Linked DNA regions of Drosophila melanogaster. The protein of the gene in region 3 interacts with the protein of the main gene of each other region in a pairwise test. Each region holds a gene or a part of one and is shown on either strand. Other genes may lie near its edges.

Evidence for each region. Proteins that work in one complex are often made in the same cells at the same time.
Region 1: the proteins of Hip1 (region 3) and CG6733 interact in a two-hybrid assay, tested with the Drosophila melanogaster proteins (one large-scale study listed by BioGRID).
Region 2: the proteins of Hip1 (region 3) and Gr58b interact in a two-hybrid assay, tested with the Drosophila melanogaster proteins (one large-scale study listed by BioGRID).

What each region holds. Positions count from the first base shown.
Region 1 is NT_033777.3:23,096,041-23,100,221, forward strand, and holds CG6733 (uncharacterized protein), read left to right. Parts: upstream 1-1,687; 5' UTR 1,688-1,718; coding exon 1,719-1,809; intron 1,810-1,866; coding exon 1,867-2,358; intron 2,359-2,417; coding exon 2,418-2,835; intron 2,836-2,892; coding exon 2,893-3,097; 3' UTR 3,098-3,151; downstream 3,152-4,181. Other genes in the region: CG17109 (uncharacterized protein), read left to right, coding at 1-331, 392-809, 869-1,073; CG6738 (uncharacterized protein), read left to right, coding at 3,534-3,624, 3,679-4,170.
Region 2 is NT_033778.4:21,977,185-21,981,303, forward strand, and holds Gr58b (gustatory receptor 58b), read right to left. Parts: upstream 2,494-4,119; 5' UTR 2,489-2,493; coding exon 1,475-2,488; intron 1,418-1,474; coding exon 1,205-1,417; 3' UTR 1,031-1,204; downstream 1-1,030. Other genes in the region: Gr58c (gustatory receptor 58c), read left to right, coding at 1-539, 597-773; Gr58a (gustatory receptor 58a), read left to right, coding at 2,676-3,695, 3,748-3,915. UniProt on the Drosophila melanogaster protein: Probable gustatory receptor which mediates acceptance or avoidance behavior, depending on its substrates.
Region 3 is NT_037436.4:12,766,872-12,775,428, reverse strand, and holds Hip1 (huntingtin interacting protein 1), read left to right. Parts: upstream 1-1,855; 5' UTR 1,856-2,118; coding exon 2,119-2,154; intron 2,155-2,209; exon of another isoform or gene 2,210-2,685; intron 2,686-2,845; coding exon 2,846-3,267; intron 3,268-3,326; coding exon 3,327-4,057; intron 4,058-4,113; coding exon 4,114-4,223; intron 4,224-4,287; coding exon 4,288-5,034; intron 5,035-5,090; coding exon 5,091-5,526; intron 5,527-5,592; coding exon 5,593-5,997; intron 5,998-6,054; coding exon 6,055-6,542; 3' UTR 6,543-6,867; coding exon of another isoform or gene 6,868-6,918; 3' UTR 6,919-6,997; downstream 6,998-8,557. Other genes in the region: CG32106 (uncharacterized protein), read left to right, coding at 34-1,432; Vps13D (vacuolar protein sorting 13D), read right to left, coding at 6,868-6,918, 7,077-8,192, 8,250-8,557.

The DNA of each region.
Region 1 (4,181 bases), on a different chromosome or scaffold from region 3:
CCGGTGTTCCGTGACAAGTGGACCCACGATCCCTTCGCTGCCGATATCGATGAGGAGGGCAGGATCTTTGCGCGCGGTACTCAGGACATGAAGTCGGTGGGCACAGGATATCTGGGTGCCATCCGCCTGCTTAAGGCAAGTGGTGTCCAGCCCAAGCGCAATTTCTTCGTGACCTTTGTGCCCGATGAGGAGATCGGCGGCGAGCTGGGCATGCAGGAGTTCGTCAAAACGGAATACTACAGCAACATGAATGTTGGTTTCAGTCTGGACGAGGGCGGCACCAGTGAAATAGATCTGTTCTATGTCTTTTATGCCGAACGTATGCGATGGGGTGAGTAATCCTTGAGACACATCTAGGACTAGAATCTAAACTATATCCCCTCTTTGGCAGGTCTCAAGCTGAATTTCAGTGGAACCTCTGGACACGGCTCCATGTTGCTGCCCAGCACTGCCGGCGTGAAACTGAACTATGTGCTCAACAAGCTGACGGAGTTCCGCGAATCGCAGGTTCAGAGGCTGGCCAATGATCAGACAATCAACATCGGTGATGTGACAACTATCAATCTCACCCAGCTGAGCGGTGGAGTCCAGAGCAATGTGGTGCCTCCTCATTTCGAGGCTGTCTTCGACATGCGTCTGTCCATCACCCTGGATGTGGTTGCCTTTGAGAAACAGATCCACGATTGGTGCGAGGAGGCAGGTGGCGGCATCGAGATCTCCTTCGACGAGAAGGAACCCTACGTGGCACCCACAAAGATCGACGACTCCAATCCATTCTGGCTGGCTTTCAAGGCTGCCACCGATGAACTGTAAGTCTGAATCGAATGCTCAACAATGCGTGTTCCTAATACGATTTGTATGTTTATAGTGGCCTTAAGATCTACCCCATTGTCTGCCCCGGTGCCACCGACAGCAGGAACATTCGAGCTCAGGGCATTCCAGCCTTGGGATTCTCACCCATCAAAAATACCACCATGCGCATCCATGATCACGATGAGTTCTTGGGCGCCGAAACTTATTTGAAGGGCATTCAAATATACAAGAAAATTTTGGGCAACCTAGCGAATGTCTAAAAACTAAATCGAAATAATACATGAAAACCTTATCAAAATAAAGATTGATGATTTTGTTATAAGTTAGTACAAAACTTCCTGGCCTTTTATCTTATCTCAACGAATACCTTAATCAACTTAAGATCTGAAGAATACAACTTGCTATCCTTGCGACAGCAAGTAGATAATGGATGTATCTACATTTTGCTGTATCATCATAGATAGCAAGTTGGAAGACTGGGAAGCCCATTAAATCCAAAATAATCACTTGATTTTTTCAAATCGAAGGTCATCAATCAAAGCTTCGTCATTTTAATTGAATTTGTCATAATTTTACGATATGATGGAAAATATTGAAAAATACATGACAACTTACCAAGAACTTGAGGTTTCAAAGGTTGAGGTTGCATAGATAATACGCAATGAACTCATTTCTGTGTAAGTTGCATAGATAATACATAATGAACTATTTGCCGCTTAGAAAAGTTACTTATTCGGATAATAGACGTGTGGGTTTTGCAGATAAGGGCGTTACTATCGCAACCACATACACTTTTGATAAGCATTTAAATTCCTTGACCATAAACATGAAAGCAATCAGTGTGATTATAAAAGCACAGACAATCTTTGTTGCAGCTCAGTTGCTGATGACAGAAGAGTGTCGAAATGAGCTCGGAAAAGTGGGAAAACAATGAGGAAATTAAGATTTTCCGGGAATACTTGCGTATACCAACGGTGCATCCAGATGTTGACTATAGTGAGGACTTAATTTTAATTCTTTAAAGTTTGCGTTATAATGTCTTTCAATGTCTAGCTGCCTGTGTGGAGTTCCTGAAACGTCAGGCTAGCTCCCTAAATCTTCCTGTTGAAGTGGTTTATCCTGCTGTTCAAACGAAGCCCGTTGTGATCATCAAGTGGGAAGGAAGTCAACCCGAACTATCGTCCATTGTTCTCAACTCTCACACGGATGTGGTGCCAGTTTTTCGAGAGAAGTGGACCCATGAACCCTTCTCCGCCGATATTGATGAAGAGGGTAGGATCTTTGCACGGGGTACTCAGGACATGAAATCGGTGGGCACTCAGTATCTAGGAGCGATTCGCCTGCTGAAAGCTAGTGGCTTCAAACCAAAAAGGAATTTGTATGTGACCTTTGTTCCCGACGAAGAGACTGGTGGTCATCTGGGCATGGCGGAGTTTGTTAAGACGGATTACTACAAGAAAATGAACGCGGGATTCAGCCTGGACGAAGGCGCCACTAGTGAAAGTGACGTTCATCATTTGTTCTACGCCGAACGTTTGCGATGGGGTAAGTTCCATAAGGATGATGATGATGGATTGGGGACATTACCGTTTCGCTTTATGCAGGACTCAAGCTGAAAGTCAGTGGAACTTCTGGTCATGGTTCCCTTTTGCTACCCAATACGGCAGGAGTAAAACTGAACTATCTGGTCAACAAACTGACTGAATTCCGCACCTCGCAAGTGGAGAACCTTGCGAGAGATTCCAGCCTCAGCAAGGGCGATGTGACCACCGTGAATCTCACCCAGTTAAGTGGCGGAGTCCAGAGCAATGTGGTTCCGCCACTTTTCGAGGCGGTCTTCGACATACGGATTGCCATTACTGTGAATGTGGTTGCCTTTGAGAAACAGATTCGCGATTGGTGCGAGGAGGCGGGTGGTGGCATTGAAATTGATTTCTTCCAGAAGGAGCCTTATATAGGACCCACCAAGCTGGACAATTCCAATCCCTACTGGCTAGCTGTCAAAGCCGCAATCGATGAGCTGTAAGTACCGACTAAAAATTAACTATAATGGCTAATCGAAATCCTCCTGTGTTTTAGTGGATTGAAGGTTCATCCCATCGTTTGTCCTGGCGCCACTGACAGTCGTTTCATTCGGGAGAAGGGTACCCCAGCCATTGGATTCTCACCCATTATAAACACCACCATGCGGATCCATGACCACGACGAGTTTCTGCAGGCTGATGTGTATCTTAATGGCATTGATGTGTACAAGAAGATTATTCGCAATCTGGCTGAAGTCTAAACAAAATGTTTGAACTACATGGATCGTGGCTATAATAAAGATGGGCTAATTACTAAAGTGTGCCTCGTATCTTCATTTTAGAGAGTAATCTTATCAAAAAAAAAAAAAGATTCAAGAGTTTAATTTGAAATTCCGTGTTTATCTCAATATTGTTTGTTGATTCTTTGACTTTCGCCTCCTTGATCAAGATATAAATGATTCTGATGGGAATTCTGTAGCAGATTGTCAACTATACTGCTTCTTGTCACTACCTCGACTGCCATCCAAAGTGACTTGCAATATAGTCAGAATTGGAAGAGATCTGCCGCCCATTGATAACGATTTTCTTATCATATACGCATAATCACTTTTGTGGCACGATCCAAATGCATATAAAGACAGCGGATGCCTTTAGCTGCTTATTTCTACTTTACCATCCTAACGATTCATATTAAAAATGAGTGCCGAAAAATGGGAAAAGAACGAGGAAATTCGAATATTCCGGGAGTATTTGCGAATTCCATCTGTACACCCTAATATTGATTATAGTAAGGTCCTTATTTTAATATTTCCTTAAATGCATTAGCACTATTCATTTTTAGCTGCTTGTGTGGAGTTTATTAAGCGGCAGGCAGATTCCCTCAATCTGCCCGTGGAAGTAGTTTTTCCAGCTGTTAAATCAAAACCTGTGGTGATCATTAAATGGGAAGGAAGCCAGCCAAAGTTGCCCTCAATCATTTTAAGCTCGCACATGGACGTGGTTCCTGTATTCCCGGAAATGTGGACCCATGAACCCTTCTCCGCCGACATCGACGAGGAGGGTAGGATCTTTGCACGAGGTGCTCAGGACATGAAATCGGTGGGCACTCAGTATCTAGGAGCTATACGCCTGCTGAGGGCTGATGGCTTTCAGCCGAAAAGGACGCTCTATGTAACCTTTGTTCCTGACGAGGAGATTGGAGGCATCCATGGCATGGCAGCGTTCGTTGAAACTGACTTTTACAAACAAATGAATGTGGGATTCAGCTTGGACGAGGGTGGAACTAGTGCTTCTGATGTTCATCACTTGTTCTACGCCGAGCGTATACGATGGAGTGAGTAGCCC
Region 2 (4,119 bases), on a different chromosome or scaffold from region 3:
ATGCCTTAATCATGATTCTATTAATGAGCTATGTGGATATGACAGTCTATATGGTCGAAGTGGCTGGCAATTGGCTGCTGGTAAATATGACCCAGGGGGTTCGGGAAATGGTCCAAGATCTAGAGGTCTTGCCCGAACGGAATGGCATTCCGCGGGAGATGGGACTGATGCAAATCCTTGCCGCCTGGCGAAAACTTTGGAGACGCTGTCGCCGTTTGGATGCGTTGCTCAAGCAGTTCGTTGACATCTTCCAGTGGCAGGTGCTCTTCAACCTGCTAACCACTTATATATTCAGCATTGCTGTTTTGTTTCGATTGTGGATTTATTTGGAGTTCGATAAAAACTTTCATTTATGGAAGGGCATATTGTATGCGATTATTTTTCTGACCCATCACGTCGAAATCGTAATGCAATTTTCCATTTTCGAGATCAACCGCTGTAAGTGGTTGGGACTTTTAGAAGATGTCGGAAATCTGTGGGACATCAATTATTCGGGAAGGCAATGCATTAAAAGCAGTGGAACGATTCTGTCAAGAAAGGTAAATATTTTGTATTGAATTCATAGTGCAAAGATAATGACTAACGCTTTATTTTAGTTAGAGTTTTCCCTGCTCTACATGAATCGCAAACTTCAACTGAATCCAAAACGTGTGAGACGTCTGCACATCGTTGGATTGTTCGATTTGAGTAATTTAACCGTTCACAACATGACCAGAAGTATAATAACCAATGTGTTAGTTCTGTGTCAGATTGCCTATAAAAAATATGGTTGAAAAATAATGTGTGTAAAGTTATCCAATTAAATTTCAATATCAAGTAATTTGACAAAATGTTTTTGGGTTCGAAGGTCTGCTAAAATCTTCCAAATTTTATATAAAACATTATATATTTAAGCTTTATAGAAAACAAGGAACATATGTATGTATTTATTTCTAGCTGGCCCCAATACATAACTCTTTTGGAGACATCTTAAAATTATCCGCTATACAAGAAAGCCACAAAATCATAGCTTTCAATTCGAATTTGATATCCTATAAAACTCCCATGACTGAGAGTCCTGTAAGCTGCGAGAAAGCTTTCTATTTTCGTGTAAAGTTCTGAAAGCTTGATTGATTTACGTTTATGTATCATATCAAGGTAAAAAAAAAAACCGTGTATAAATGGTGAACATTTAGGTAGATAGATATAAGATATATGATTTTCTTTACACTTTTGTTTTGTTCTTCATCAAATGGATGAGATATTGACGATCATTGATGGGTTGTCTTTGCCGTCTCAAATCGAACTGCATGAGGATAATGACGTTGCTCAGAATGGAGCCAATATAACTAAGGCAAGCGGGTTTGTCCAGCTCCACAATTCCGCATATTTTGTAGACCAACCGATTCTGCCTCAGCTGCATGGTAAAAACATCCAACTAAGTGGAATATTGTTTAGTATATATTAAATTTTGTTTGAGGCTGAGCACACTCACCTCCCTTTGCATCTTTGGACCCACTTTTGGTAGATCGCTAAGTTGCCTTAGTTGCTGGCCAGTGTTGTTGCAGGAGGTCACCACACTATCCAGCATTTCCATCAGCGCCATGGTGCCCCAGAAGTTGAAAACGATCAATCCGTTGCCAAATAAGATGCCCCAACCATTTGACTTGATGCTGCTATTGCTGTACTGGACGGCATGATAAAGGATATTAATAGCGGTCATAAACATGTTGATAAACACCGTGGCATTAGCGATGTCAAACATGTCAAAGATCCTTCTGGCTAATCGAAGGGTTTTCAGATGCATGGCGGCTACGGAACGCAGAGCTTTCCATTTCTTCCGGGCTTTCCTACCATGAAGAGCGTTTATGGCCAGATGGATTACCAAAAATTGATGATTCAGTAGAACCAGTACCCCGAAGAAACCCATTTTCACGCACAAGAAGTGCAGAAAGTGCGTGAGCCGGGCACAGAAAGCCAGGAAAATCTGTGGGTTAATCACACTGAGCAATTGATACTGCAACACAGTGGAGCACAGAAAAGCACTATAGAGTAATATTATTTTCCGGATCATTATTCTGGCCAAGGACTCTTGTAGGTCAAGGAGTTCTTTCTTGTCCACTATGGCCCTCGTTATGTGTCCGAACCTCTTCCAATATATCAGCGAGTATTTATAGAGCTGAATGATTTTGTGGCGCTTTAGCCACAGGGTTCCATAGCAGCTCACCACAGCGATGGCTCTAAGGAAGAGCATCACAAAGAAGTTCCACTGCAGGACTATGTTGTACTTCATGTAGCCATCTTCCATGATCCGAGGCACCATGAAGTACAAGTTTAGAAACAGGAATATGCCCACAAAGAAACTGTAGATGGTGTAAGTTCGCGAGACCTTTTCCAAGCGTAGGCATTTCCTGCAGGAGCGTATCCTTAGGGTAGTGCTCATTAGGGCGAAGACAACGGAATGGTAGTAGACCACGTTCATCACGCGACCAAGTTTCGGATGCAACATGCTGCAGTCAAGGCAGCCAGGTAACTGACCACGTCCTAAACGCGGCAGACAACTAATTAGGATATAAAGCTTACTGATGGAATTACGATGAGCAGACAGGTTCTCCGATTTCCATCAGGATAACAGAGCTTCCATCGATTTTATAGAACAGTTGACGGGTGTCCTTTGCCGGAAGCAGTTGTACGAAATGCTGTTGAAATTCATGTACATATATGGAATAGGCTGTGGTCTGATGCCTGCTCCTCTGAAGAAAGGACAGTTTCTTTTGGGATATAAGCAGAGATGGTACCTCATCTATACGGCCTGCCTGCACGGCGGTCTACTGACCGTCCTGCCCTTCACATTTCCCCACTACATGTACGACGACAGCTACATGAGCAGCAATCCAGTCCTGAAATGGACATTTAATCTAACCAACATCACCCGTATTATGGCCATGTTTTCGGGCGTTCTCCTGATGTGGTTCAGAAGAAAAAGGATCTTGAATTTGGGTGAAAACTTAATACTTCACTGTCTTAAGTGCAAAACACTGGATAATCGTTCTAAGAAGTATTCTAAATTGCGGAAAAGAGTTCGAAATGTACTTTTCCAGATGTTACTCGTCGCAAATCTCAGCATTCTGCTGGGGGCTTTAATTTTGTTTAGAATTCATTCAGTACAAAGAATTAGTAAAACTGCAATGATTGTAGCCCATATTACACAGTTTATATATGTGGTCTTTATGATGACGGGAATATGTGTGATCCTATTAGTTCTCCACTGGCAAAGTGAGAGACTTCAAATAGCACTCAAGGACTTGTGCTCCTTTCTTAATCATGAAGAACGCAACTCCTTGACTTTATCAGAAAACAAGGCCAATAGATCCCTCGGAAAATTGGCTAAGCTCTTTAAACTTTTTGCGGAAAATCAGCGATTAGTCCGAGAAGTTTTTCGAACCTTTGACTTGCCCATCGCCCTTCTTTTGCTGAAAATGTTTGTTACAAACGTGAATCTGGTTTATCATGGAGTGCAATTTGGCAACGATACCATAGAAACCTCAAGTTACACAAGAATCGTGGGACAGTGGGTGGTGATTTCTCATTACTGGAGTGCTGTTTTGCTCATGAATGTTGTGGATGACGTGACGCGGAGAAGTGACCTGAAAATGGGAGACCTCCTGCGAGAATTCAGTCATCTGGAGCTGGTCAAAAGGGACTTTCATTTGCAGGTAGCATTTTTCTGGTAAAATATACGATATAAAATTTTTCATACATTTTTAGCTGGAACTTTTCTCGGATCACCTTCGTTGTCATCCGTCAACGTATAAGGTCTGTGGACTATTTATTTTCAATAAGCAAACGAGTTTGGCTTATTTTTTCTATGTGCTGGTTCAAGTTTTGGTGCTTGTACAATTTGATTTAAAAAATAAAGTTGAAAAAAGAAATTAAAAGTGATAAACAGAAGCTCTAAGCTCTAAATAACATATGTACATAAGTATAATTCCTTATGTACATATGTATGTATTTGGCTGGCCAAAATCCTTCTTATTGTCAAAAATCATAATATATTTTGACGCCCAGAAGCAGGATCAAATTAGGCAACAAATAATTTCAATAAATGTACATATGTACACCATGTGTGCACACTGAGAG
Region 3 (8,557 bases):
TGATCTCTTACTTTTAATCCAAACATATTTCAGGAGGAAATTTGGTCTAAACTTCACCAGACTCAATACCAATCAATTTCAAATGGCACCAGCGACTACAAGACACGTTCGACTACAAACCCAGAAAACAAAAAGGACGAAGAATCGAAACTGCAATTCTTCTGTTGGCCAAATGAACGGTGTATTTGTTCTAGCTTCTTCGCCATCTACTAGAACGAATACAGCAGAGCAATCTATTGAAAGGAGAAATAGGAATCTGCAGAATCATCCAGGCGTTTCTGATTCTTTGAGTAACAATCCACCATCCTCAGAAAATAGACGAAAAGCCCCATCCCAAACATCTTACCCAGTACTTAGACGTATTCAAAGAAATGATTCAAACAATTCGCAAGGCGGAAGATTCATTTCGGCCAGCAGCCAATATCCTGACCAGCACAGACAAGATGAATACCTAGCTTGTGATAGAAATAATAGTGACCAAAGCCATCGCGATAGTCATCAAAACGAGGACGGGTCGCATAATTCAGCTATGGTTGGAGCTTCTGGGTATTCTACTGACTTAACTTGGACAGATCCACCTCCGAACTCCCAATTACTAGCTCCCAATACATCGACTGACGTGGAAACACTGGAAACGGTAACCCTAATGCAACCTCGAAAACTTCGTAGTTGTGAAAGTGCTGGGATCAGAAACCAGGCAAATATCAATGGGAACACCGTTCTTATAGAGACAAGAACTCCCTGTAACAGGGAAATTCTACTCCAGACCTGTGGACGACCGCCCTGTAACTCGTGTCCTTATCAATACACGGGTCTTCCTCCGAGTCTCCATCAAGGATTTACGAAGCCACCGGATCATATGCTACAACCGCAGATCTCTGTGAGTGCTCCACAAAATGTCACTCCTTTCGATGAAGGGTACCTTATAGATCCGCGGGATCAGTGGATGCCCACTAAGTCACCAGCTTCAGCACCAGCCGTGCAGCATCAATTTCAAATGAAGGAACAATGTCAGCCGGATCATGGATCCTATCATCATTTTCAGGAATCTGTACATACTTCAGACCCAAGTTCCTCTCAGGCCAGAAACCCTGACTACAATCCTCAACTAAAAGAGAACATTCGAATGCTTCCAGATGGATTCTATGAACGCACCGTGAATAAGTATAATATAACACGCATGGATTCCAACTTCCAGCCACCGGAATTTTCACTGCAGCCAAATTTTGTTCACGGAGAACAGCATCCTACTTTCAGACACCACGCTTGTCCTTATAGCAATCAATATCATCATCCGCAACTGATGATGACATCCGTTCCAGATCCCAATCGACGTTACATTCCACCACAAAACCAATACCCAGCCGAGATGTTTTGGCCACAGCAAAATGTACATTTGGATTACTATGATCAATCGGAATACCAAATTTAATCCAAACAGTTGGAAGAATACATTAAATTAAAATTACTTTAAAAACAAATTAAAATTGTCGTTCTTTTATTTAAAGTAAAAATATGGTAGCAGATCTATAAATATCGAACAAAATCTATCTTTTTAGAAAATCAGTACACAAAAATTTCAAAAACACATTCTAAAGCTTTTTTTTAAACCATCGTATAAAATCAAATTAAATTAAATTTTTAACTTAACTGAAGTTTTATTGAAAGCGTTCGATGTTATAATTTAAATATTGGTTCATTTAAGTGTATTTCAATTCAAATATCCTTCGATTTAATGGAAAAAAATAAAAATTTGCAAAACATTTTTTTTCGCGCTCAAAATGGTGATGCAAGAAGTTGATGACTATCGAAACGAATCGATAGGGTAAAGCCCGCATATCGGAACACCGCCCAGCTCTATTAACTTTTATCGATAAAGGAAAACAACATTTGTTTATATGACTAATTTACTCTTACACTCATTGTTTCATACACGCACACGATCGGAATCCGAATGAATACGAACGCGACCAATACGAAAACAATGGCCAACATTGTTGATAAGATAAGATAACTCCCGTTTCCAATGTCTTTGCTGTCTTTGCTCTAATGCACATATATCGCGCTGCGAATGATTCGAATTTGTTCAGCAAGTACGCCAAGAATTGTCAGTAAACAATGGCAACTCACGCCGAAAAGGAGTTCTACCACCTGGTACGTAAGCCCAAAGGAAAGCCAAGAAAACCGCCAAGAATACCCACAGCAGATTATAGGCACACGGATGTTGTCATATCATGTGCATAGTGTAAATACCTAAATGTTTATGCACACAACTACAGGCGCGCCGCTCAAATATGCATAAACATTTCACTTAAGAAGTCAGCCTTGAACCAGATTATATGGAACAGCTCGAAATATCATCAGCTTTTCACACGACTTGCAACACCACAGAGACTACACTACATGCTAATCCCAAGTTTCTCCGCTTCGGATGACCCAGAAAATTAGAAACTGCAATGAATGCTATGCGGACTACATCCACTTTGATCAATTGTTCAATGTGCACACAAAGGCCTTTCAAATTTTTTGATTATCAACCCAAATTCGGCACGATAAGAAGTGAAATCCAGTATTTAGATTACCTTCTGTTATCATAAATTCATATCAAACACATGGTGTAGGTGTTTGGAATCTTATTTTTAAAAGCATCGAAATGTTTGCACTTCCAAACTAAATAGTCGATCAGTGAGTCACCCCCTTTAGATCGAATTCCACTAAAAAGTATAAAACTATAGATATCGTCCGCCAAAATCCGTCCATATCTTATAAGCTGAGTCAGTCACTTCTTCGAAAGTGTACAACAATAAAAAGCCATTTAAACTATAATATTTACATTTCATTTCAGAACGTCAGCGTGTCCAAAGCTTTAAATGGCCTGGAAGCGCCACTCAAAACCAAACATGCCCGCTCCATTATTATTATGATACACAAGGCCAAAGAGGCCAAAACATTCTGGATGATCATCTCCCGGCAGCCTTTGATGCAGAGTAGATTTACTGCCTGGAAGTTTTCGCATCTGCTGCACAAGGTCCTGCGAGAGGGTCATGAAAGTGCCATCCGCCACTCGCAGAGCCACAAGAAGATGATACTGGAGGTGGGAAAAATGTGGGGCCTGCTGCAGGACGATATTGGATGCTGCATACAGGCGTATAGTAAGCTCTTGGCCACAAAATTAAACTTCCACGACAAAAATCGAATGTTTCCCGGCACCCTGAACATTTCGTTCACGGAACTCTTCATTGCTGTGGATAGGGATTTAAATTATTGGTAAGTAAAAATAGATATATATTACTTTCAAACTACTGAGACAGAACCATTGATTCCAGTTTTCAACTGTGCGTGGAAATTTTCGACTACTTGGAGGATATAATTGCGCTGCAATTGACGATATTTTCATCTATGGAAAAGTACAGAATGTCGTCGATGACACCGCAGGGACAATGTAGATTAGCGCCAATAGTTTGCCTTATCCAGGATTCCAATGCGTTGTACGATTTAAGCGTTCGGTTAATGTTTAAACTACACGATGGTGTACCATACGACGTTGTTTCCGGACACAGAGATCGCTTTCACGGTCTGTTTTTAAAGTTGAAGAGTTTTTACAACAACGTGCGACCGCTTCAGTATTTCAAGGACCTAATAACAATCCCGGAATTGCCGGACTCAAGTCCTAACTTCAAGTCCCAAAACGATTTCACCAGTTATGTACCGCCAGTGGTTCACGTTCCCCAGGAGCCCGATCCGGTTGTTGAAGACCTTGTGGATACCAACAATCACGAGCTGGAAGCCTTCAGTCAAGCCCAGCAGCAGCTTAGCATGTTGGAGGGTATAATCAGCGAGAAAGAGGCTAGCATTGAGGAGCTGTCATTCAAATTGGACGCAATGCAAAAAAATTTCGACGCACTGCAGCAAAGCTACAGACACGACGTTCAGGAGTTGCAACAGAACAATACTGTGCTGTCAAATGATCTGGTCTTGGCGAGAGAAATGTGTGCCACCTTTCGGATGCAAAATGACGATCTTGAGATGCAACTGAATCAGAACCCAATTCTTTTACGTAATTAAATGCTTATTAAACATAATGAAGTCATATAAAAATACCTTGTATTTCAGAAAAAGCTATGGAGGAAGAAGAAAAGCACAAGTTGTCGTCGGAAAAGTTTAATAAACTTAAAACTCTATACACAAAGATTCGAGATGAGCACATTCAGCTGCTGAGAGAGGTATGCAGAAACACAATATTTTCTATTTCCTATACTAATATTCATTCATATACTTTTATATCAGCAAAGTGATTGCAACAAGTCCTTAAATAAAGAGAAACAAGTAAACTCACAACTATTGTTGGAAACTAAGGAGCTTACCAATGAAATTTCCAAAATTAAAGTAAACGTAGAGGAAAAAGAGAAAACAAACTTGATTCTGCAAAAGCAAATCGAAGAGCACAAGGAGAAAATAGCACATCTTGAAGCAGTCAAAAACGAGATGAAGGAGAAATTCGATGATGTGGTTAAACAAAAGGAAATTCAGGAACTCGATATTATTTCCACTTCCGAAAACCTGAGGCTAAATTGCCTCAAAGTCGAAGAGCTTAATGGAAACCTCAATGACACCCTGGAAAAACTGTCGAACGCCGAAAGCCAAATAAATGCAAAGACCGAGGATATCGAGAAAATGCTAAAAGCTTTTGAAGCGGAAAAGGCATTGCTCTTAACTCAGATTGAACAACAGAGTGTTGAAAGTAAAAGCCATAGTGAAGCTCAAAACGCTCAATTGCAAGAAATAATGGATAACTTGGAACAAAAGGATAAAGAGTTCAATGAAGTTAAGCTTCAGCTGTCCAGCGCAGAAAGCCAAATCAGCTTAAAGGCATTGGAAATTCAAAACAATTTAAAGGCATTTGAAGCGGAAAAATCAGTGCTATTAACTAAAATAGAGCAGTTAGGTATAGAGCATAAAAACAACAGCGAAGCACAAAATGCTCAATTGCAGCTAACTTTAAACAACTTGGAGCAAAATGAGAGTGCATTACAGGTAAATGAAACCAATTTAAATCAAGAAAATTATAGAAACTGCTTTTCTTTCTTCAGCAAACCCAGGAAATTGTGAATCAATTGAGGCAGGAAAATGCTTCAGCGGGTCAGCGTAACGAGGATTTGCAAAGCAAACTCTCGCTTACTGAGGTAAAACTAACCCAAGCAACACAGCAAATTGATGCCGTGACAAGTTCGTACCAAATCTGTAGTACCGATTTGAGTGAACTCAGAAAATTGGTGATCAAGACTGTAAAGGAAATATGCAATTCGAAGTTGAGCGGATCGGAACAACAGCCTTTGGATGCGGTGCCAAACATAATACGCGAAATGGAGACCATTTTAAATAAGTTCAATAACGCATCGGCTATAAACTATGTTGCTTCAACCGAAGGACTGCAAAATGTTATGTATCTGGGTTATGTATTTATAAAACTATACGATCAATGTGATGTTATCTACAAAACAACAACTGCAATTGAGACAGGTCAGGGTAAGTTGATAACACTAAAAACATAACCACCTACAGCAAACTAACTTTGTATTACTTATTTTGCAGAAATTTTCTCAAAAACAAATTTGTTATGTACCGATATCTGTCAATTGTTCCAATACTTATTAAATAATGAAACAAAAGAACCCGAGAGACAGAAAACAATCACTGATATACAAACAAAGCTGAGAGATATTGAAAAGCTGATTGAGAAAATAAAGGCATCATTTGAACAGAAGATTGATTTAGATAAGCTGCTCGAAATCGAGCTTCGCGAGATGGACGCTGCGATTGATGATGCAGCCTCCAAAATTACAGATCTACTGGCAAAGGCTCGAGAGAAGGACAACCAAACCAATTTAGAGGTAAACGGAAAAATAGTGGATGCGTGTACCACCTTGATGGAATGTGTCAAAGCTCTAATCCAAAAATCTCGTCTCCTGCAACACGAAATCGTGGCTTCCCAAAAAGGTAGCTAACAATATTTTTTAATTCAATGAAGTTACTGACAAGTAATTACTCTTTCAGGAAATGCGAGTGCTAATGAGTTTTATAGGCGGAACAGTCAGTGGTCAGATGGTTTGATATCCGCCTCGAAAAGTGTGGCGAAGGCAGCCAACTATCTGGTGGAAGCTGCAAACAAGGCTATTGAAAGTGAATCTGGCAAGAACTTTGAACTCATTGTGGCTGCCCAAGAAATTGCTGCCTGCACGACCCAAATGGTTATTGCGAGCAAAGTCAAGGCTGAACGTAATAGTCAAAAGCTAACCGACCTCACAAAAGCCTCGCGAAGCGTAACGCAGGCAACAGGAACTCTGGTCGCCACCGTGAAGGATTGCAACTCCCAGCTGGAGCAGCAGAGTGAAATAGAACTTTCTAAGCTAACGCCATCACAGATTAAAACGATGGAAATGGAAATTCATGTTAAAGTACTCGAAATCGAACAAGCTCTCCAAATGCAACGACTAAAACTCTCATCGTTTCGTAAGGAGCATTACAAGAATGCCGATTATTAAATACCATATTTATTAATGTTACTAACTTTACAAACATTCTTTTTTGTATTAATGCCCGTCATGACAAATAATATATCTACACAATATTTACACTGCGGTCATTTTATCCTACAATGAATCCGTAATATCTGTTTATAGTATTCCGTGTCGATCGCTTTTTGATCCTTGATTTATATCACACCATAGTATGTGGGTTCATTATTTCTTAAATGTTTATTTTACTTACTACTTGAAATTAAAATAGCACTTATTGCCAAAGAAAATAAAATGTAACATTTGTTGTCAAAAGGTTTTTGTTTATTATCACGAACCGACCTATTGCATTTTATAAAACGGCATGTTCACGTTCATCAAAGACACTTTTAGCGTAGTTTATCTAAAAGAAAAAGACAAGTATGGAATATATGTGATAATCATTTCAAAATTTGTAAAAGTAAATAAATTATATGATAAACAAAGTCTGCGCTTCAACAATAATAGTTTATTATTGAAAGATAATTTCTACTAATTTCTGCTAAGATGATTTCTACTTACGCATCTTGATGCTGCCTCAGCACATTCCTCGGAACGACACCGTATCCTGGGCCTGGTAATCTTTGGAAGATTGGTTGATATCTCGATGTAGTGACTGGCCGACGCCCTGCTGCTCGTGGTTGGCGTTGTGCCGGCATTCGTTACCACTGGATGGCACGAAAGAATCTCACTAACATGACATTCAAACATAATGGTTGGATTGGCGTCGCTTAGTGAAAAGATTCGTACGTATTCTGTAGAAACCAGCAAGCGCAATCTAGCCTCCTTGTCGCTCCATAGATTGGGTTCATATGAAATTATCTTCTCCGAAAAGTTCTTTTGATTGATTAGGTACAGATATTGCTGCCCCTTGCTTTGGCGATTGGAATACAATGGCAAAAGACCACCAGGAGCACCAGTCACACATCTGGGTAGCCTTTTCCTTTCCGGAGCGTTTCTGTGACTATCTCGGCTTGTTTCACGAACGGCACTGGCAGTTTCCGATGCCAGGTCCAATACACCAATGATCGGTTTGGTGACAGTGCCTACTAAGCCCTTTCCCAATCCACTGAGAAAGCCAGGAACGCCATCGGAAGTGGCACCATCGTAAGTGTGTCTTACAATACTCGTTACTCCGCCCAGCAGTCCAAATCCGAGACCCTTCAGACCCGCTGCAAGGTGACCGCCGGATGTATTGGACTGCAGTTCCAGAATGCGTTGCCTCGTCTCATTGTCGTGATCATCCAGCACAACTTTTCCCAGGCTATCGGACAGCGTTTCTGTTAGCTTCGCCGTCGAATTCGATATGCCATGCGTAACATTTTTCACCAAACTCTTGACGGAGCCCTCAAAAATCAGTCCGGATACTCCTTCCGAAAGATCGTTGGCAAATCCCAATGGATTACCAAGGAAATCGACGCTGCCCAAAATTGCAGCCGCATGCCATTTGACTTGGTTGATGTAGTGCTTCTTCAGCTCCTTCCGATAAACGTCCATCGTCTCAAAGTGCAATTTATCCGAATACCTGTCGAGTTCAATCAAGGCATCTTCGAATTTTATTAGAGTGAGTCCAAGTGCCTTCTTGGTTTCATGCAACTCCACCGGCAACTTTGAAGAAGTGAATGCTGAAAGTCGAACCTTTAAAGAGAAAATTGAGTTGTTTAAGACCATTAAGTCTAGATTTTAAAAAATTACCTGAGTTGCGCCAATACTTAAGTTCTCAAAATAGTATCTCTTCATATCCTGCAGAAAAGGCTTATCATCCGTGTTCTCGAATTGGTATTGCACACTTAAGTTCTGACGGTTGATCTTGCCGTAGCCCAGGAATGAAGCCACTTTAAGTATCAGCTTCTCCTCCAGACTCGCCGTTGAGGGTTTCAAGTCCAGAGTTAAGTACTTGAAAATGATTGCATTCTTGTTGGGCGAAGGTAACATTTTCAGTTTGAGAACAACTGCATTTTGTGTTTCTTCAAGATCATTCGAAGTTTGCGTGTGCAATGCAA